Linked DNA regions of Drosophila melanogaster. The protein of the gene in region 2 purifies or fractionates together with the protein of the main gene of each other region. This does not show direct contact. Each region holds a gene or a part of one and is shown on either strand. Other genes may lie near its edges. The genes, in order: UQCR-11 and UQCR-14.

What was found.
Region 1: the proteins of UQCR-14 (region 2) and UQCR-11 fractionate together in Drosophila melanogaster (co-fractionation; one study listed by BioGRID). This does not show direct contact.

The regions. Positions count from the first base shown.
Region 1 is NT_037436.4:25,116,047-25,127,592, reverse strand, and holds UQCR-11 (Ubiquinol-cytochrome c reductase 11 kDa subunit), read right to left. Parts: upstream 6,845-11,546; 5' UTR 6,775-6,844; intron 6,716-6,774; 5' UTR 6,692-6,715; coding exon 6,608-6,691; intron 6,550-6,607; coding exon 6,376-6,549; 3' UTR 6,222-6,375; downstream 1-6,221.
Region 2 is NC_004354.4:16,284,369-16,296,065, reverse strand, and holds UQCR-14 (Ubiquinol-cytochrome c reductase 14 kDa subunit), read right to left. Parts: upstream 9,779-11,697; 5' UTR 9,657-9,778; coding exon 9,617-9,656; exon of another isoform or gene 9,502-9,616; coding exon 9,454-9,501; exon of another isoform or gene 9,391-9,453; coding exon 9,143-9,390; 3' UTR 9,078-9,142; downstream 1-9,077. Other genes in the region: ERp44 (endoplasmic reticulum protein 44), read left to right, coding at 1-19, 752-843, 948-1,341, 1,412-1,678, 1,753-1,951, 2,026-2,170; caz (cabeza), read right to left, coding at 2,871-3,180, 3,423-3,871, 3,956-4,125, 4,975-5,009, 6,744-6,840, 6,908-7,039, 7,109-7,115; CG32576 (uncharacterized protein), read left to right, coding at 7,659-7,683, 7,750-7,841, 7,930-8,108, 8,827-8,908, 9,932-9,976; eas (easily shocked), read right to left, coding at 10,963-11,044, 11,305-11,697.

The DNA.
Region 1 (11,546 bases), on a different chromosome or scaffold from region 2:
ATTAACAGCCTCGAACCTTCGTTCCTTGATAGCAATCCTCTTCCCATTTCCCAGTGTTATGGTCAAATTTCCTTAATCTATCTGTGCTCCCATTTCTTTCACCCTTTGAAAGACACCCTTTGCCGAGAATTGCGTCGAATGTCGTGAGAGATATTAATAGGAAAAATTGTATTTCCCAGTCAAAAAGGTCTGCTCTCTTGTACCGTGTTATTTTTATATCGCCACCCGGAGTGGCAGATATGAAGGGCTTGTAATTTGGTATTGCATTCGACACCAGTTTGGGCTGATTTTAGTTTTTGGTGGAGCCCGTGTCGATCAACACTTTTAGAACCTTTGCACTCCTTACTCTACATTCGAAGTACGTTGCTCTTCGTCATTTAAGTGGTCCGTCAGTCCGTTGCAATATTTGTCCATGGTGCCATTTCGACACTTGGCTGTTCCTTGCCCATTGTTTGGATGTTATAATTTCTTTGTCTTTTGTTTATGTCTGTAATCTGACCGCTGACATTTCTCGTCTGTATATGGGGGTCCACGTCCATTGGTTCTGGTCTTGGTTGCGGTTTGGTCGCAAAAGGACAGGGTGGGGCATTATTTGGTTGCCATTGTTGTTGATAATTTCGTCGGGGTGCGGCGAACGGTGCATTACCGAAATTGAGCATGCGTTGCCAGCAGCGAATGGCTGGCCTATGTGTTGTGGTGGTCTCCTCATGAGGTTTCGTGGAGGGACCGGTGGAGGCTGTCGATGGCCAAAGGCATTCGACGGCTGAAAAATGCGGGGTGCCGGTGGGTTTTTCGTTTACCCTGAAGCCCGACTGCTGCCCCTTATTTTCCGCATGGTTTGATCTGTATGTTTGATTTTCAAGTTTTAAGCAATAATGCAAAGCTGAAGGGAGATCGGCTGGCTCCTTTATAGCCAAGAGGCGAGGTGAGTCTCCTCGAAGGCCTCTAATAAAAGTGTCCAGGGCTTTATCTCTGTACATTTTTGTAATAAAATGCTCGGATATATATATATTGTATATATGTAAATTTTTCATTAACTCACGGGAGTTTCTTCGGCAGTAATTTAACCAACGAATTTTTTTTGCAAAATTTTTATTTTGCTCCGCGACTTAGAATTTTTGTCTGGTCAGCATTTTGGGCACTGGTGTTTACCCAGAAATGTTGTTGGAATTTGAGATGTGGGACAATGACTTTTAGGGCAATAACATGTATTCTTGTCTTTATGTCGGCCTGTCGCTATGAACGCTGAAAGATTGAGATTCAGCTTAAAAATTTACGTGACATTTAAGTGCAAGTACCTGTTTTTATACCTCTTACTATTAAAGTAAAAGGGTATACTATATTCCATGAAAATTATTTAACAGGCAGAAGGAAGTGTTTAAGACGAAATGAAGTATATATAAATTATAAGTCGTTGGTTAATTTAATTATATTTCTTTATATTTCTCTAAATAATGGACTTACAATGTTTAGTTTTGCTATGGATAACCCCATAAGAATATTCTCCAAATCTGTAATAACAATTCTATTTTTAGCTAAAATGATCTCTAGTAAGTGTGTTTCAGTTTTAGAAATTTGATTCATTGCTGTTGCGAGTTCATTCAATAGTGTTTGGAATTTGATATTTAATTCTGTTTGGTTTTTTTCTGTTTTTGTTAACTGGTCTTGATTGGTTTTATTTTTTCCCAATCGTTAAAGACTGGGGTACCGGCGATGTCCTTCAGTACCATCCCGATCAAATTTAAACTCCTAGCAGCCCTATGGTGGAACCTTAGAGTGGCTACTAATTTGCGAGTGTGTGTCAAGTCCGTCATAATTACTGGTGTCCGGTGGTCTTCTGTAAGCGTCCTTGTCATTGTCTCTGTCTGGTCGGCGTATTTCTCGTACGTTGTCTTGTTTGTCGAGTGTTGCAAGTATCCGTACGATTCCCAGATGACGATTTTATTGTCCTCTTCGGGGGTGTAGTCTGCGTTCGTATAGTCACTAAGTCGTACCGCCGCGTCTGTCCTAACAGTCGTTAGTATAAGAATTAGAATGGAATACCGTAACCTGAAAAGATATAAAAAAGATTGGACGGGGTCAGAAATCTTGCGAAGATGTTTATCGTAGATTGACCTTGTGGACCACCCTCCCCTTTATTAGGACCGTGGTCCCCAGGTCTGCCTCTATGGTTTCTTCCGAACATAGTGGGGAAAGCTTGTCCCCTAGGCGTTTGTTGGTTTTTAAGAACACCTTTTAACCAACTTGATAGTCCTTGTAGGTTCTATCTTTATTTACTTGGTCAAGGGTCTTTTTCTGTGTCTGTTTAATTTTTTTTGCTGATTTTCCCTTCGATTTCCGCAGACTTCGAGTGGACCATTTCTATCGGTTTTTCATTAACCGATAGAATACCGAGTGAATAGAATTGTTATCCTTGTTGGTTGCGAACAGAATCAATTCGGTTGTGCCATTTAGGCCGGTTTCCATCTGGCTATTTCTGCCAGGGTACTATGAAACCTGTCTACCTAACCGTTTGAGGTGCTCTGTAGAGGAGGGGCGTTGGAAATGGTGATACTAAAATGATTTACTAACATTGGTTTCGGAATTTAAGGATCTTTCGTTATCGCAGTAAATGGTTTTTATTTTTGGAAAGAAACTTTCGAAATTTGGCCTGCACTGTGGCAAATTTCGAAAATGTATCAATGCACGTAGAAAAAGGGTTCCATATTTTGAAATTATGTCGATGTGAAGGATTTCCCCCACATAGGAAGGTATCGGTGTTTCTGCTACCGCTTATTTGGATGGATGACATTTGTATTTAGCCATTGAGCACGTCTTGCAGTTCAAAGTTGTTCTGTTTCTAACCGTAGCATCTTAGGGAAAAAATATTCCCTCAAGATTTGCTTTAAGTTTTCTCCCTTTAGGATATTCGTTAAAAGCCTTGCGATTGTCGCAAAGTCCTTTATAAGACACCTATAGTAGCCTGCTAATTCCAGAAATGATCTGAGTTCGAAAAGCGTTTTAGGTATGGGGAATTATTTTATGGCTTCGACCCTTTCAGGTGAATTTCGTAGAACCGATTGTGACACTATGAACACCAAGTATTTAACGCTCTTTTTAAAGAACATTGACTTCTCCTGGGATACTCGCATGCCTGCCTCCAGGAGTTTTCTTAAAACTTAATCCACGTCCTTAACGTGGTCTTCCTTTGTTTTGGAGAAAATTATGAAGTCATCGACGTGCACGTAGCATATCTTTGAAATTCCATCTCTTAAGACATCGTCAATGACCCTTTGCTTGGGGCATTTTTAAGCCCAAATGGTAATCTACAAAATTCGTATTTGCCGTTGTTTATTGAAAATGCCGTCTTTTCTCTGTCCTTTTCTGCCAGCTTTATGTGGTGAAAGCATGACTTAAGATCAAGTGTCGTAATAAAATTTAAAATGGTTGGGATAGGGTATTTATCGTCGACTGTTCTCTGATTTAGTTTTCTAAAATTGATAACTAGCCGTTACTTTTTTACCCCGTTTTGATCTGTTCCCTTTTTGTCTACAACCCAGGTCGGGTTGTAAAGTTATTTTAGATGACCTTACTAAACAGTCCGCTAGAAGTTGTTTAACCTCTGCATTGATGAATTTAGTCACACCAATGGGATGCGGCTATGATTTTGAATATACTGGCTCCCCATCTGTTTTATTTGTGGCGATAGTATTTATATTGAATGGTAATGCCCCGTCTGGGTCAGCGAAGGCTTTGTGATTTTTAACAATCATTTTATCGAAGGAGTTTTTAATACGTCTTCATCATCGATTTCAATGAAGCTAACGTTTTCTGCCCTAGTAAACTGGATCTTTTCAGTTCCGTTACTAGTATTTAGAACATTTCTGGTAAAATCAAGTTTTGCATTTAATTGTTTAGAATTGTTTAGAATTAGAATTGTTCAGAATAAAAAAGGGTGTTTTTACGTTAAACACCGAAACAAGACATTTTTAATTAATTTTGGCCATGGATTTACTATACAGTAAAGGGTTTTTCTGTCCCGGGAGAGGAGTAATATAATTTTTTGAGGTGCCCGTATCGAGTAATAGTTTTATTTCTCCTCCAGCCACCCTACGTGTAATGTTAGGGAACTTTACCCTAAAAAATTTCACGATCCTCTGCATCCAGTTCGTCCTCTACTTCTATGGCGCTTGCTTGGGCAACGAAGTCATTATCTTCTTTGCTGAGACCGTGCTGACCGCCCTCATTACCATCTTGTAGTTTGTTTGGACCGGGAGGAGGGGTCAACTTCCATTGGCTCTAGCGCCAGTTGGCTTTGCCCATTACCTGCACTTTTGTGTGGCTTTTGTTTAAAGAAACCACTTTGAGTTCTAACAAACATTGGAGTTCTAACAAAATGGGGTTTTTTTTAACCGCCCCCGAATTTTGGTTCGTCGTATGACTGCAAACTTTTCCAACCTGCCTGTCGCGCTGGTTGTTTGGCCAATAGGCTCTTTGTAAAAAAGGGTGAAAGCAATACAAGCAGATTGGAACAGGAGTTAAAAGCAATACATTGACCAATAACCCACTTTAGACCCTATATTTACGGTAAACATTTTACAGTCAAAGCAGATCGTAGATCACTCACCAATTTGTTTTCAAAGTTGACTCGTATAAGACTTGAATTGGGGGAATATAGTTTTACAGTTGATCTCAGAGGAAAAGAAAATTATTTTGCTGATGCGCTACAAAGAATAACCACCAAAGAATTAAAAGACATTACTGGTAATATAATGAAAGTCACTTCACGATTACAAAGTAGTCAAAAATATTGCGCAGGAGGAACGCACAAAACATCCTTGCATATGCAATCGATAGAAAACGTGATAGTAAATAAAATGTTGTTTTTTTAAACAAGGAAAAACAATTACTGCAAGATATGACATTTCAAAGGCTTAGAAGGTATGTCTAAAGAAATCAGAACCTACAACAAGAAATGTCTAAAATGCAAAAAAATAAAATAACTAAGCATACGGAAAACCCCAATAACAGAAACCCCCTATGCTTTCGACAAAGTAATAGTGGGTAATATAGGTCCTCCTCTACCAAAGTCGGATAATGGTAATGAGTCTTCAGTCACCTTTATTTGTAACTTAACTAAATATTTAGTTGCAATACCAATACTATATAAGATCGCAAGTCGCTAATTCAATTTTCGAATCCTTTATCCTGACTTACGGTCCATTGAAAACGTTCATGGGTACAGAGTATAAGCACTCAATAATCAACGATTTTTGCAAAAATTTTAAAATTAAAAATTTAACATTTACCGCTCACCACCATCTGAAAACTTATCAGTTGAATACATATCAGTTGATAAAACTGATTGGGACCTGTGGCTTCAGAATTTCGTACATTGTTTTATACAACCCGTTCTATAGTTTCCATATAGTTTTTGGCAGAGCAGCCGATTTATCATATAGGAAAGAAGGAAAGTAAATGAAGATTGGAAGTACCATATAAGAAAACTAGAACTATGCATGAAGAGTATAAATGAAAGAATAATGAAAATAATGACTTACACATAACAAAATAAAAATAGCAGTGGGAGATAGTTTTGTTATGAAATTAAGTAACTAAACAAAAAACAAGTAGTTCATAATTACACGTTAAAACTTTTTTATTCATAGTTGATGGCATCACTTAATGAAAACAATATCAATAAAAATAAACTAAAATAAAAAAGAAGCCCACTCAGTAAACTCATATTACTTTACTCAATACAAATACTTCAATGTATTATAAATATATACATACGTACAGACACATTTGCAGCGCAAATGCATTGCATAAGCGCTGGCAATGGAAAACATGGGCAAATGGTTCCACCTTTTAAATTTCGAAAATTCGATATCGGAATATCGAAAAAAACTGGCACCAGAATGTCAAAGAATAGTCAGTAGGGTCTGTTATGTTTTGGGGATGCGTAGCCTTCACTGTCTTGGGAGATTTGGTTCCTGTTGATGGACACATGAATCAAATAAAATATTTAGATGTCCTTAATAATAATGATGATGAATTGATTGGAGAGTCCTTCATACTCCAGCATGATAATGCTCCCTGTTATAAGACCAAACTGATTACTGTTTCTGAAAAATGTTTGCATAAAAACATTGGATTGGCCACCTCAAATTCCAGCCCTCAACTTAATAGAATACCCTTGGTTTAGTATTAAAACAAAGGCGTGCAAATACTTATGCCCACTAGTGTAGTATTACCTACCCAATTTCGCTTCTAAAAGGTTCTGATCACCAAAAGGCACAAAACACGTATAAAACTCGATAAAGAGATTTGTTTATTTATGTTCTTATTTTTAAGCACTGCCCTTCCCTTTAATGGAATTGACTTTAATGGTATTTACTTAAGCTTTGTAAAAAGACTGTGCGAAACGCAATGATCTAACTCAGCAACATAGTCAAATAATTCTTCGATGCAAGTCTCAGTTGTTTTGGATCGCCCATTAACACGATCATTGCACTCTTGGTACTTATTGTACAAGGATTCTATGTGACCTTTAGCTTGACATTTTTCCTGTTGCATAAAAATCAGTTTAGTGTTATATTAAATGATGTAAAGAAATCTTTTTTACCCTTAAAACTGCTTGAGGGTCAACTAAGTCCTCTTCGTCATCAGCTCTGACGGCGGGAAGCGAAAACCAGTTCCTAAAAGCCATTATTAATGCTAAAAAGAGAATAAACTAGTCAGAATTCAAAAACATATATAGTACCAAATTTTATGAATATGAACGTAAATTACATTTTTGAAAAATAACTATAACCTTTAAGACCGCTATGATGCAATCACAATGTATTTTATGTATGCCTGAATTATGAGGGCCAGACCAACAAAAACAGATTATTTTATGCATATATATCAATTAGCTAAGCTTATAGCCTAGCCCCAATAGAATACATCTTTATGAACCGTTTGCAATTTTACCTAGATGTTAAAATCTGTTCACACAAGGTACAATCAAAGCAATTAAAATAATTTTTGGCCAGTTGTCCGCCGTGACGGGGGTCAGATAATTTTTTTTAGGCTATAAACTTTTATTTAAAACTTTTCATAATTTTTTCCTGATTCCCTTGATACATGTTTTTGGAGGCAAACATTTAAAAATGACGTGGTGTTTTTAAAACGAAATTCAATCAGCTAAAAGCTGATAAAAAAAGTGGATAAAATATCTACTGAAAATTAATAATTACTAATTCGTTGTGGGCCAGAGTTGTCTTCTCTGTCTTTTTGGTTCTTTTTGCTCTAGTTTTTAAACAATAACTAATTAAAAGCAATCAAATAAATATATGCTTAAGTGATAGAAAGTTTTCATAAAACTGATGCGAAAACTTCTTTATTGATATATACAACTATGCGTGTTCTCTATAAAATTACACACACAAATAAAATTTGTATTGAATAGTTGTTGTAATTTGTATTTGAATAGGAACCATAGTGTGGTAAAAAGCAGAATAAAAAGACCTAAAATATTTGAAACTAACCTTAATTTTTTTATTAGTATGCGCGAGTACCTTCTTCAACCCGTGGACCATCCGCTCGCATACGCCTCCTGCCCGGCATTGAAATTTTCATTCCATTTAATTTGATGACAGTTCGTTCTACATCTTCTCCGTTTTGACTCCTCAATCTGGCCACCGGTCCACGGCAGCTTATAAAATTCCTCAGTGCGACTGTCGACAATTCCTGGGCCATCTTTAGACCCCGACTGCTGCTTCCCTGAAGTACACACACTTCCGACAGGAACGTGTACTGCAAGAAACCTTGAAGCAGCTCCTAATCCCGGGACTTGGCTGCGTCATTATAGATTACGTAGATTATACGTATTTTGGTAGGTTCATTTGGATTTTCGACACCGAAGTGTGGCAGACACTGTCACTGTCACTGTACGTATCATCTTGACATAGCCATTTTCAATTTCTCTGTATGCTGTCAATGTTGATGACCCTCATATTATAGCTGCCTGTCAGCCTCACCTCGTAATTCTTCCATAGCAGACCAGTTAAGGATTGTAAGCCCACAGTAAACTAAATTCCATCAATCCTACAGAACCGCGCCATATGTCCCTTTTCTAAGCACAGAAAATAGATTCGATGCTTCTTTGCAAAGTTTATTCGAGACATTAGAGACGCATGAGTAAACAAAGACACTAGAATAATTTTAAAAAATGAGGAAAACCTAAAATGGTTCAAAAGTGTGTTTTGGGCGTTTTGTTTGTGTTTGCGTGACCAAAGTGTCTTTGGTATGCCGATTAAAATGCCGGAAGACAAACAATAAAACGAAGAAGAATCAAACATTTTTCAATGGTAAGGTCGGTTTTGGGCGGTTTGTTCACGCTAGAGTGGGCATGGCAAAACTTTTTTTTTTGCAAAATCGATAAAAGACTAATATTAATACGAAATAATATAAAAACATTTTTAAAAAGTGTGGGCGAGGCAGTTTTTGGCGGTTTGTGGGCGTGGCAAAAAGTTTTTAGGAATACCGTTAGAAATTTACAAAACTAATACTGTTTAACTAATAAGCTCTTCTATTAGCTATTTGCAAAGAAAAGACGATTTCTATGCAGCGATCTCGAACGATAATTTATTTTTTTATCAATTGCACGGGTCCCACGGCCACACCTCCCGCCCAACCGACCGAGTGGCGCTGTCGTGTATTGTTTATGCATAAATTACTAAAGAATATGATGAATAATTGGAGAGCGACTTATTTGCAGAGGAAACAGCAGAACTCCAAGTCAAAGGTGTAGGTGCGACCAAAGACACTAGAATTGCATGTGGTATTGACTTGACCGACGCACAGCAGTTCGTAGAAGAGACTAGCGCCAATCATTAAGTCTATGGGTAGAAAACGATGACACTTTGGGTCCGCGAGCGTCAGATTTAGGAATATGTTTCAGCTGAAAATGTCAATGTTTAGGCACGACTGACTTTCAACGACATTGCAAGCAATGGCAGCAGTAATGTCAGTCGAGTAGTTATTTACTGACGAACCATCTGCCTTAAAACTAGAATCGCCAATTGCGGTAACACAAGCTGCCAATAATGCCTTCATAAGTTGAGCGCCGTCTCTCTTTACAACGCAACCATGCATACATTGCTTTCGTTTCGGGGCAATTCGATGATCGAGCACCCTTACCTTCAACTAACTCGAAAAACAAGCTTTTGCTCTCGCGGAGCGAAAAGACCGCCTCTCCTACACCGCTCCCCACACAGCCACAATCGAACATTCCGGGTAACTGTAACACTGCAATAACAAGTGCAGTGACCTCCCTAGAAACTGTCACTGCTACCACAACAACAACTTCGTTAGCGGCCCAACTAATCGCTGTGCCAGCTGTAAATAATTCTGCAACACCGACCATTGGCAACAACAATAATGGACGTAAAAAAAGAACCAAAACAAAAGCAGAAGGCGATTGCCAAGAATACGGCCACACCAAGGCATACTGCTGTGTGGTTTAACGTATAGCAAATACATACAACAAAGTCAATTTCTGCTCTCCGCATTCGATGTTTCAACCACCCTTAACTGTCCCAAGCACTACTCTTGGAATTTTCTTCGCTAGCGCCTTAAAATCCGGACTAGAAGTCCCCGCCTCACCGACTAGAACTGCTCATTCCGAACATAAATTGACAAATATGCAACAAACTGAACAAAGTGGCATTGAAGCTATGATGCTATCCCTACAGAAAAGCATGAAATATTTCATAACGATCAAAACGTGCAAAATTTCCTGATACAACTTCTTGTATCTTCAAAATCCCCATGCTGGCTTCCCTACGGATATCTATTCACTTCATACACAAGAACTCACACAGTTCATTACCGAAAAAAACACTGGAGTAATGCTACTATCAGAAACGCACCTCACAAATCATTCAGATGGTAAAGCTCTTGGAGGCACTGGCATACTAATCAGAAATCGCATAAAAACCACCTCAATCTACGTCCATAGTCTAACTACTCAACAATGGTTCAATGACTCTAGCCGCAGTCTACTGCCCACCACGCTATCCAATACATACTGACCAGCAGACCCAAGAAAAATCCCAGACCCAGATCACACATAGAACTAACGCCGGCATTATCTGCTAAGGAAAATATAGACAAGTCAACGGACACTGTTGAAAATATTCTAGTTTCGGGTGCAAAGTGACGTATGCCCACCAGCACTAAGAACCTTTTGTAGAGAAAAGACAGTGATGAGAAAAGAGCCAGAGCAGTTGCTGACCACTTACAAATTTTATTTCTACCAAATCCTGCTATAAAGTCATTATTCTCCCTCCTTTAGCAGAAGCAAACTTAGATTATGTGAATTAGCAAAGGTTATCAAAAAGCAACTGAAGCGATTTTGGCTTCGACCTAATAACTCAAAAAATCCTTATTGAACTCCCAGTGTGATGTTCTGCACATGTGCTTGTTGTTCAACGCAATCGCCAAGCATGGATACTTCCCTCAAAAATGGAAAAAATCTACCATAGTAATGATTCCAATGCCAGGAAAAGATAAAACGCAGCCATCATCATATAGACCGATACAGTAACTAACTTATCTCTAAAATTTATTTGAAAAAATGCTACTCCTGGGAATAAGCCCTCGTCATGGAAAAAACATGGAACCATCGAACAGGCCAATCGAATCACGTCAGAAATTCGTACTGCTTTTGAGCATCGAGAATATTACACAGCCATTTTACTAGACGTCGCGCAGGCATTTGACAGTGTTTCTGGATGGACTTTTGCTTAAACTAGCCAAGCTATTGTTCCAAAACATACATAAGCTACTGAAGTCGCAATAAGATGCAAGGAACCTTCACTGGCTCATGCTCGCTCTCCACTTAGCGTGGAGTTCAAAGCTCTCCTATACAACTCCGTCTTAAAACCAATCTGGACTTATGGCTCCGACCTGTGGGGCATCCATTCAGCGAGAACAGCCAACAATTCTGAGAATTCTGACTAGAGCGTGATACCTTCGGAACGAAGACATACACAGAGAGAAAAAAATCAAATTATTTATCGAAATAATAACTGAGAAGAAAATTAAAATACCTAGTAAAACTGACCACCCATTCAAATCCCCTCACAAGAAAACTAATCGGAGGCACAAAGTGTTCGTATCATAAAATCTTTGTTGCTTTTAAAAACCTTTAAAAAACAAGAGAGGTAGCTTTAAAATTTTTCATATGACATCTTTAAGATATGGTGAACCGATTTAGATATGTTAAAAATTAAAAGAATAATTATCGTGAAAAAGGGTACGGCTGTTCTTACTGATATTTATACCCACTTAATTGGACTGAAATGCTTTTTTCACTTCGTTGCAAGCTTATAACTGAAATCGATATACCCTCCTCAAGGATATACCAAGATTGTGTGAGAGAGGTTGCAGACTACTTGGAGACCAACTGCTTCCTTGTTATAACCGAAATTGTGATGATTTTGAACAAGACAAGAGGGATCGATGTGCAACGTGTGGTCATATATTATGGAGATTCCACTGTTTCCGACAATCTT
Region 2 (11,697 bases):
AATATCGATATGACCCTAGGTGAGATATGCCCATACCATAACCATCACAGTCATCCCCATGCCATTCCCGCTGCCAGCGTGAGCGGGAATCAATTAGCCGACTTGTCCCATTGACGTGTCACTAAACAAAATCACTGGCTCGCTCAATTCGGCACTGCCAACGTGGTAAAATAAGTTTTATGCGCTTTCGTAAAGGACAAGGTGTGGAATTTGGATAAAACTTAATTAGGGCGGTTTATATTTCATGCTGCATCGGTCCGATAGTCCGCCAAAATGGGCACTAGCCATTGGTCGGCAGTTCTTTGCTCAGAATGTCCGAAGTTTGGTCTTTGCATGAATAGGTCCTTTTTATACGGTGTGTCCTGTACACAATCCTGCGGTAATACTATATTGTTTTTTTAAAGTTATTTTTTTTTATTATCCAAACGTTAACTTTTACAGTAAAGCCTGGCCTTAGGCTTGCACCCCTTAAATTTTAACTTTCGGAAGTTATGGAATAGTAGGATGCTAGAAATTTCTTGACTTTAATATGTATATTCAGCGACAAATTTAAATATATTCCATAAAAATACATATGCATTTAAATTATTAATACATAAACCCGTAATTCAATATTGATATAAATATATTACCAAATATATGTTTTTAAAAGTTATTATATTTAGTATCTGAACGGAGTTGTATTCTACGCATCAACAATTTTACACACAATTTGGTGCCTACATTAAAAACACGTTTTGTTTTCTTGCAGCGTCTAATGAATTGGTTTTCCTTAATTTTTATGCGGAGTGGTGTCGGTTTAGTAATATTTTAGCACCTATATTCGCGGAAGCTGCAGATAAGGTGAGTCAAATGGATCGCCAGTAAAAGCTTACAAACAATGCGATACATTCATATACATTTTATATCGAATAAATACGTGGCATTCAATCGAATTTCTCTTACAGATTAAAGAGGAGTTTCCAGAGGCTGGAAAAGTGGTGCTAGGCAAGGTCGATTGCGACAAGGAAACGGCCATCGCGTCCCGTTTCCACATAAACAAGTATCCAACATTGAAAATTGTACGCAATGGGCAGCTCAGCAAGCGCGAATACCGAGGACAGCGTTCAGCCGAAGCGTTCCTCGAGTTCGTCAAGAAGCAGCTGGAGGATCCCATTCAGGAGTTCAAATCCCTGAAGGATCTGGAGAACCTGGACTCGAAGAAGCGCCTCATTCTGGGCTACTTCGATCGTAGGGACCAGCCAGAGTACGACATATTCCGCAAGGTGGCGACAAATCTGAAGGAAGACTGCCAGTTCCACGTGGGCTTCGGAGATGCCGCCCAGGCCATGCATCCACCAGGTGAATTCTATCAAACGCACCAAGTCATGCCAAGCCAATACTGAATGTCAGCTTTTTTGGTCTATTACAGGTACACCTATCATAGTATTTAGACCTGATGTAGCTCTGTCTCATGAGAACGATGAGACCTACACTGGCAGCCTACAAAATTTCGATGAGCTCAAAATTTGGGTCCAAGAGAAGTGTGTACCCCTGGTGCGGGAAATAACATTTGAGAATGCAGAGGAACTTACGGAGGAGGGTCTGCCGTTCCTAATTCTCTTCCACCACCCAACCGATCATAATTCTATCAAGGATTACAAGTCGATCATTGAGCGTCAATTGCTGGATGAGAAACGTAAGATGAATCATCGTGTTGTTTACTTTGCATATAAGCATTTGGTTTGACATTGTATTTTCGAAATTTTGCAGAGAACGTCAACTTTTTGACCGCCGATGGCAAGCGATTCGCGCATCCTCTGCACCATCTGGGTAAATCCGAGGATGACTTGCCCTTGATTGCCATCGACTCGTTCAAGCACATGTATCTGTTCCCCCACTTCAGTGACATGTACTCGCCGGGTAAGCTGAAGCAGTTCCTTCAGGATCTCTACAGTGGCAAGCTGCACAGGTAATTGTTATACAGCCGCCTTTGCTAACACCATGGGGCTCAATTACTAAACGGTCTGCTGCTTTGCTTTCCAGGGAATTTCATTACGGGCCGGATCCCTCAAATGATATTGAACCTGACCCACACACTGGCAAGGGTACATCGCCACCAGAGTCCAAATTCAAGGAACTTGGCCCATCCAAGCATCGCTACACCCTGCTAGAAAAAGATGAACTGTAATATAATAATAATAATGTATATTGAAAATAAAAGAAAATAATACAAAAATGTAATAATGAGCAACCTTCTCTGAAAGCAGATCAGCAGGTGAGCGGTTATCCATGCAAATAGCGGGCGCAGCAGCCTCAATTCTCTTCAATGCAATTCTAAAAATAAAAAGTCTGGATTTAACCACCTTTGTTATTGCAAAAAGAAACAGTTGCTGAATTATCCACAAATTGCACGCGTCACTTTTCAAGTTTTCCTCGTTTTGTTGTTAAAAATTACGCTGGAGATTTCGGCGAGGCGAACTTATTGAATTCTTTGGAATCCCCTTCTTAGTCAGCTAAGCTGGAAATGAATGATGTCAACTTCCGAATTCAAAGCAGTGATTTTGATTTTCTCTATATATATATATATATACACATATATATGAGCTATATATGTATACATATATATATGTTTATTCGTATGTACCATGTTACAGTTACAGTTGTTAAATTAGATTACATAATTATATAATATAATTCAGTCAAAACGAGCGATAACCGTGTGTGTGTTGGGATAAAAATCGGTTCAAATGAAGTCGTGTGCTGGCAATTATCATTTAAAAGTTGCTCTGACTGTTAATTTTAAAAGTACATTTAAAAGCGTACTCTCGCTACAATTAATAAGTAAAAGTGAAAAAAATAGGTGCCGCGTTCGGCTGGCTACCATGCGCTTAATATGGTCTCGAGCGCATGCCTCCATCGTTTCTCATCGGTCCACCATCGCGGCGATTGCCGCCACCACCTCCACGGCCACCGCGTCCTCCGCCATTGTTGTCATTGAAGCGGGAGTAGCCACCACCACCGCCGCCGCCGCCTCCGCCTCCCTGCGAGTTGCCACCGCGATCTCTGTTGTGATATCCACCGCCGCCGGATCCACGATCATTTCCTCGGTCGTAGCCTCCTCCGCCACCACCGCCGCCGTAGCCGCCGCCTCCACCACCTCCGCTAGAGCCCTCGTCGTCGCCCTTGGGAGTCTTACATCTGCAAATGGACGTGATTATTATTATCGTAGCAAGCCAAAGATTGTAAAATTTGTAGTTCCCCAAAGATAAAGACTTATGGCAATTATGTGGCGTATCAGCAAAAATTGCTTGCTTTCAAACACTGATAAGTTTTTCGTCTACACTTTGGGTTCTCCACGATATTTACAAGCAAGTGTGGAGTTTTAGGAATTATGATGGAATGGAATGTTGAAAGCAATTATATCTCAACTCTCAACTCACCTATTGCATTCGTTGCGCCAGGCAAAGTTGGTGTTATTACAGCTGTTGCATTTCCAGTCACCATCACGGGGCTGCACGTTGCCACCGCCGCCGCCACCACCACCGCCTCCTCCGCGATCGTAGCGTCCGCCGCCACCGCCTCCTCCGCGATCGAAGCGACCTCCACCGCCGCCGCCACCTCCTCCGCCGCCACCACCACCGCGACGTCCGCCAAATCCTCCGCGACCACCACCACCGCCGCCGCCGCCTCCGCCCTTGTTCCAGTTGTTCTGGCGCTGGGCCAGCGACACCTTGATCGCATTGCCGTTGAAGTCGCGTCCATCGAACCATTCAATGGCGGATTGTGCAGCATTGGTGTCGTCGTAGGTGACAGTGGCCTCTCCCTTGGAGGCGCCGGTCTCCTTGTTCTTGTACAGCCAAATCTTGGGCTTCATTGTACGCTTGTCTTTCTGTTGTTAGATCAGTTGCAAAGGAATAGAAAGATACAAAGGTTAAAACGTAGCTACAGATACATAAAATACATTACTACTTGCCTTGATGATGCCAATTGCTCCAAAGTGTGTCTCAATGTCCTGCTCGGTGGTCGAGGGATCCATGCCGGAGACAAAGATGGTGTCCTCCTGGGTGATCATGTCGTTGCCACCGGACCCACCGCCGCCGCCTCCTCCACCACCACCGCCGCCGCCCGAGTATCCTCCGTGTCCTACAAAAGCGAATGGGAAATAAGGACGAGCTGGCACGGCAGGGTATAGCTTAGAATGCAACTGCTACTTTATTTAATTAATATTTGGTTTTTTCATTTTCTTTTTTTTGTTTTGTTTTTTTCTTAGAACTTCTCGCCTCACTGCAACCACCAAAAAATGCAACGAAGGTGAGGACCAAAGTAGACGGCTGTTCCGTGACATTTTAACCAGGACACTTAGATGTGAAACCAGAATTTTGAGGTGTATTTCAAAAAACCTTTAGTGGGTGGACGACCGTGGGAGAGACGACATGGGGACACTTTGAACGGGTTTCGGTCGGCTTTTGAGCTATCAAAGCCAGACTGACTGGTACACAAGAACACAAACAGGTGACCCCAAATTGCCAGGAGTTAGCCCGACCGACCAACCCTTGATTTGATTCGTGACAACGCTTTGACACATGTATACAACACTTTACAGAAATTAAATACTAAATACCCGTGGGCTGACCGAGTCGGTCGTTAACCATTATATATTGATCAAACAGAGATCAACGATTTGGAAAAGTACGCTAAATACACTTTATAGGTAACGATGCGTGGACTTTTCGACGAAATTTCAAATGGGCAAGGCCCCACAATGAAAAGAATGCCGCCAGGAAAGGAGGATGTTTGTTTAATATGCATATTCAATTATTTACTCTTTTGGTTTGGAATTAGACTCTGTTTTTATGTTCTAATCGGTTTGGGTTTTCTTTTTTGTGTTTAAAATTTTGTTGTTCTACTTCGATTTTAGATTCAAGTTCAATATGTAGAAAAATATTGGTATACATTACTCGATATGTTTGCAATTGTTTGCATTATTTTTACCTTTGTTGTAGCTGTCCTTGCTGGCGCCTCCATTTCTAAAAGAGGATATTGAATAACTTATTTAATGCTTTGATTTTGGTTTTAATGCAGTATGGTGAGGTATACGCCTAGGATCCCTTGTTAGAATACGTATTGCTTTGTTCGATCTTATGGCATCTAATACCATCTATAGAGCACCCGGCACAGTTCGGTCAGTGACGACGACGTTCAAACAGCGAATGTCCGTTTTGTTGCTTTCCATCACAAAATTAGAGCCAAGTGCGGCGGCAGTCACTGATCAAACTGCCAAGGAGGACAACGTACATACTGTTTGCCATACATACACCTAACTCTTATACACATAATCTTAACGTTTGCATTAGTCTACTATTGGAAAAGCATTTGTTTACCAAATTCACAGAAATGAGAGGGAAGGAAGGAGTTCGACCCAGTTAAATACACTTATGTATGTAGTAGGTATATCGCAGCAAAATACCATCGTTATTAAACACACAACACTACCTACATACCTACATTCTTGCTTAACTACTATAAAACAAGCTTAAATGATAAATAATTCAAAAGTTTAGTAGTTTAGTAGTTGTTAAAATCACAAACAAAAAAAATACCTTAAAAACGGTCAATGAGATTGAAACTATATAAAACAAATTGCTTAAAACTATCTTACATTTAGATTGTTAGAGGTAAGCTCTCTCTTAGGCGCAAAATCATTGCTTTCTTATGTGTATAAACATATGTAATAACCTTAATAGCTAATAATTAAAATTTGTTATTATTTTTGTATACGTAAATACCTTAAGATGATTAGAGTCTCAGAACCATACCAATTCCTCCGAACTGTGCATTAATAATATATCGAATTTTTTTATTGTTTATTGTTTTTGTCTCGAGCCACAATTTATTTAATTTTATGATTGCTGGTTGATATTTTTTATATTCTTTTTAGCTTTATATCTTCGATTACACTTGTGTCATGTTTGATCTGGTTTTCATAACCATCCTGTTGGGAACACACACATTTTTTGAATGTTCATTTTGGAACATGTTTATGCTAGCATTGTATCGTATTAAGGCAGGAATGGATGATATAGTGTATGGTTTAAAACGATAATAATAACATGTGCGCGATTCTCTATGCAATTATCACAAATTCATCATAGATTTCATTAGGCGACCATTATTATTCCGATTGCAACGACTGTGGTATTACTTATTATTACTTATTCAGTATAACCAGTATTATTTATGCATTGCAGATATTTGTTTCCCCAGGGCATCATCTGTTTTTTTTTTTACCATTATACTCATTTGACTCGTCAAAACCATTTTGAAATACCATTTTCTAATATTTTTACACAGATTTTCGATGAAAAAAAAACAAACGTACATGAAATACAGTCATGCGGATAAATAATAATTTGCCAAATTGGGAGATACGTTTTTTTTTGTTGTTATAATTTTATGTTTTCTGCGTTTTTAAGCAGTCGGAACAAGTCGTAGTTGCAGGAATAGCTTCAAGCAGTTTCACACTCTGATGCAGCACAGTGCATCTCTTGCATTTCAATAATATCTTTAAAATACGCTTCATGTTTCAAGGAGTGGCTCGGTGTCTTTTCTCATTGGTTTGGCTGGATTGATTTGTAAATATTTATATATGCGTACACTTCTCTTATAACACTTAAAAAACCTCCGTGAAAGACTACTACCCATGATCTAAATAGCCTCGCTGTAACTCAACAGCAGCGAAATACTAAAAGTGGATAACATACCCGTAGGAATTGCCTCCTCTGTCGTTCCATGATCCGCCGCCGCCGCCACCGTTGCCGCTGCCACCAGAACCACGATGACCGGAACCGGAATCATAACCTTAAAAACATAAGTTTGTGAGTATTGGTGTGTTGCTCGCAACACAAAGTTCGCATGCACGCCTTACCACCGCCTTGTTTGCCGTAGTTCGGAGGTGGCTCGTTGTAGTTACCCGTTTTATTTGGCATTTGCTGGTAATTTGGTGGGGGGACAGCGAAATTATTATATCCCTGTCCCGAACCACCACCATAACCGCCACCTAGAGTGCACATATTTCATCGTTTTCAATTCACGTTGCGACTTATGCGCGTGTTAAAATTATACTTACGTTCCATGTTTAATAAACGTTGCGTGAAGTCTTTTTTTAATCAATAGAATTGCAGGAGTTTCAATAACTCGCTGCGTACAAATTGCTCGAATTGAAGAAAGCGTCAGATCGTCACAAATTCTATTGTAAAATGGCGTGTGAAAATTAATTAGGGATGTGCGTCGAAGGGGGCTGGTATGTGTGGGTCTTGTAGCGCCTATCGAAATATCTATCTATATATCATTGAAATGTGTGGGAATGGAACACAAATATGCCGAATATTATATTTGTGGGAAAATACGTATTAAATGGTAAAAATAGTTTTATTTAATACATTTTATCATTTATTTGCATCCAAATGGACTGAATCCAAGAGGTTTTAAATAATTAATCGGCAGCTTGATCGCTTTACAACACTAAAGCGCTTGCATCCCTGCAAACATTGTTTACAGTCGTTAGCACGTAACTTTGAATGAAAGTCGAAATCAGCTGTTTGTGCTTTGAAATTGAATTGGTGTTTACGTGGATTTAATTTTTTCTGAAATCAAATTAAAGCAGAGCCAAATACAAAATGATTGAAATATCAGATTTGCAGAGTAAGTAGCCATTAATATGCGAAAGCCATCAGCGCAACTAAACCGCCTATTGAAATCTTCCCGCAGAAATTGGCATCGGCTTGGCTGGTTTTGGCATTTTCTTTTTGTTTCTCGGCATGCTGCTGCTGTTCGATAAAGGACTGCTCGCCATTGGCAATGTACGTTACCCACATGCACATGCACCATATGCCCCATATAGCACACCCTTCGAGCTCTATAATAATAGCAATCGCCTCTTTCCCGCAGATTCTATTCATATCGGGCCTGGCCTGCGTCATTGGCGTGGAGCGCACGATGCGCTTTTTCTTCCAACGGCACAAAGTCAAAGGCACAACGGCCTTCTTAGGGGGAATCGTCATCGTCCTGCTGGGATTCCCCATCTTCGGCATGATTATTGAATCCTATGGATTTTTCGCACTCTTCAGGTTCGTAGCACCCTGGCCAAGTCCCAGTCGGATTCGTTTAAGACCATTTGAGCGGGGCTAACCGGTTACGCACTCCACATGGTCTTTTCGCTTTCCCGCTCTTAATACACCATTCGCAAGTCAGGGCTTGGCAGTCAAAGTTGCTGTCAGATGACATCCTTTAGAAATATTTTATATTTTAATTGAAAGACTGCAAGTCATGTAGATGGGACAATTTGACGCTGTGGCATTAACAGCAAATACCAAGTATAATTCTTCAGATTCGCTTACAAAAAAAGCTCGATCAGATTTTATAGCATTTGATCAGAGCTAAAGAAAGCAAAAAGTATGTCCTTCATTATAACTATTCGCTGTTTCTGTCTGTTTTGTTCTGTTCTGTCCTTTTATACATTTTTTCCTATCTATACCTCTCTCCTTTTACCTTTTCAATTGCATGCTTCTTCATAAGTTACGACCAAAGGTGCAACTTAATAATTACCCTAATATATGTAGGTCTTTTTATTCATTAAAATATCTTTTAACGAACGTTAAAAGGTCTGCTTCATATATATCGGATTAATGAATGGAAATCTATTCAAAGTAGGGAAAATATTCAGTGAATATAAGAATTTAACTTAACTTCGAAACGTGCAAGATGGCAATACAAGTGGAAGTAACTTCTTTTAGTGATTTGTCGTTTACTTATTACTTATTAATGTCCTTCTCTTTATATTTTCAGCGGCTTCTTCCCCGTGGCCATTAATTTCCTAGGCCGAGTGCCTGTTTTAGGATCGCTGTTTAATTTACCATTTATACAAAAGGTAAGGTAGCATGGAGCCTCACAAAAAATAAAAAATATAACATAGCAAATAGCCCATACTCATGATCACTTAACGCGCTCATCTCGCCTTGACGCGAAAGCCCATTGAAATAAACTGAAGGGTCCACATTCCCAAACGACCACGCAGACTCGATTTCATAGCCAATTTTGGTATTTATCTAAGCTATGTATTTCAACATTTACAAGTCCAAAGTAGAGGGATTTAGTGGCGCGTTTAGTGGATCTTTTCCCAGTCCTCACGCTCCTCGCGCTCCTTCACGACCTCCTTGAGGTAGGGTTCCAGATACTTGACGTCCTCCTCGTACTTGGTCCACTGCTCCTTGGGCAGAATGGTCTTGGTCATGGACAGATGGAGGGCCCTCATGATGCGGTAGTTACGCTCATCGTACAGCTTCCTGGGCAATCGGCGCACGGCCTCCTTCACATCCTCGTTCTCATACAGACAATCATCGCGATGCAGACCTGCAAAAATCGATGGCATCAAGCTCAGCTGTTAGGAATCACTAGGTTATATAGTAGTCCTACCGTATTGGTTGAATCCGGAGAGATTGTAGGCCCATCTGCCCAGATTTGCTGTGGGGAAAAATTCGCATTACATATTTACGTAATCATAATATTCCGGCGTACTGCACTACGAAATTTGTTGCATGCAACGTGAGTCCGATTGTTGCCCGTTCGTATTACTTACAGAGAACTGCGGGTCCCTTTCTGGCAATATAGTTCGACATGGTTTACGTAAAATCAGAAGTCGGGAAAGAGATATTCCTCCAGCCTTTTTATTTTAGGTATGAGAACGTTGGAGATGGGTCTCTCGATAGCTATCGCACCCCGTTATCGATCAACGAGCACTACGGTTGCGTTTGTACAAATCGATTTCCGAAATGTAATACAGACACACTGCACCTATCGATATATCGCACTCAAGAAAATTCGTTATTCTTTAGTTTTAGAGCTATTAAATATATTATCTTTTAACATTTTACCCTTTTGTATTTGTATTTAGATTGTTCAAAAACTTGGTGGAGACGGCAACCGAACTACAGTATAATTACATCTCCAAAGTTGGTCATTTTGCAATAACTTTTTGTATAAAGTAAATAAAATCAATTCAAATTCTTGTAAACCCATTTAAGCCCATGTAAAAATCCGCCTTCATAAACAAAATACTTGTAGTTTATCAAACCGAATGATTGTGGCTTTCTCCTTTTGTAATTTGTTATGGGAAACACTCAAAAAAGGTTTTTAATTTGGGTTAAGTTATAATTTATGTTAACCAATAACCTCGATTAAATTAATTATAAAAATGATGCCTGAAGATATACAACTTTCACTTAACTTGCAACACGGGTATTGTATATTAAACAGCAAACAAAAAAGGCAAAAATGTTGGTAATTAGCGGAGTGCTTCGACAAGCGGAAATCCCTACTTCTCATTTAAATAATATTTCCCCAATTTTTTGCGATAAGCCCCCGCCAACGGTAAACCCTTCATTAAAATGATTGATAGCGTTTTTATTTTAAAGTACATACCTTCGCTTTATTATGACTACAAAATATCAATTTATACAAATTAAAGAACATATACAAATTCTTTATATATACAGTGCCCTCCCTTAAGAGTGAACACTCGAATATGTGAACTTTTTAGTAAAAGTGAACGATTAATTTATGAAATTTTAGAAACTTTCGCTTAACTTAGTAAAAAAATTAAATTTTTTCAAACGTGGTGTTTTTGAAAAATATATTAAATTGTTTATTTTTTCTGTGATTCGTTATAGTGAACAAATTCGATTCAGTGCACACCCTTGGTTCTCAATAGTCCACTGTTTCGAGTGAGCACTGTACATACACTAAGGCTGGCACGAACACGACACTAATTTAAGTTTGTTTCGGTTTTTGTTTCTGATTTCTGAACACACGTTATATATATACATATGTATAACATTGAGACCCGTTCCAGCCTTAGTTTATACATATATCACTGGGCACATAATGTAGTAACTCCCAATGCGCTGAGTGGCCGGGAGAGAGAAATCACTTATTGTTCTTAGCTGCAGTCAATGACAAAAACTCCACCTTTCGAGCCAAGTACTCATTATAACGAAGAAATGCATAGCTAAATGGGGCGAATAAAAAATTGGTCATTAGTATCGATTGGTTGTAAGGGTCGTAATTGGGGGAAAAAAGGAATTGCAGGGTGCACAATAATATAATAAATCCATTATAATGGCCGTCTAATGGTTGTTGATGGATCTTATCAAACAAAACTGATATATATACTGATGATATATATCTATATATCTAAAGGATTTATCATCTAATTGCATCGTGCATTCCCAACTCAAAGTTACAGTCCATATACTATGCAACACGCACCCTACGTAGTCGAAATCGATAGTGGAATGCTCGGCTTGCAACAGGGACCACACCGTCCAAAAGATATGCGATGCCAGCGCAAACTGATTGACCTGGACATAGAGCAGTTCGACTTCGTCGTTTTGAATGTTGCTGCGCTGTAGGTACTCCTCAAGGTAGACCCTCAGCCACTGGAGCTGGAACTCGCGCTTCGGATAGCGCGAATAGTCGACCTCATCCACGCCGCACATCTCCGCAAAGTGGTTGCCAATGTCGAAGGCCTGGAAATTGTAATCGGCATACTCGTAGTCGATGAAGTTCACCGTATTCAGGCTCTGCGTATAGATCACATTTCCCAGCAGAAGATCGTTGTGGGAGAAGACAATCGGACTGTCCAGAGCCTCGAGGTATTCA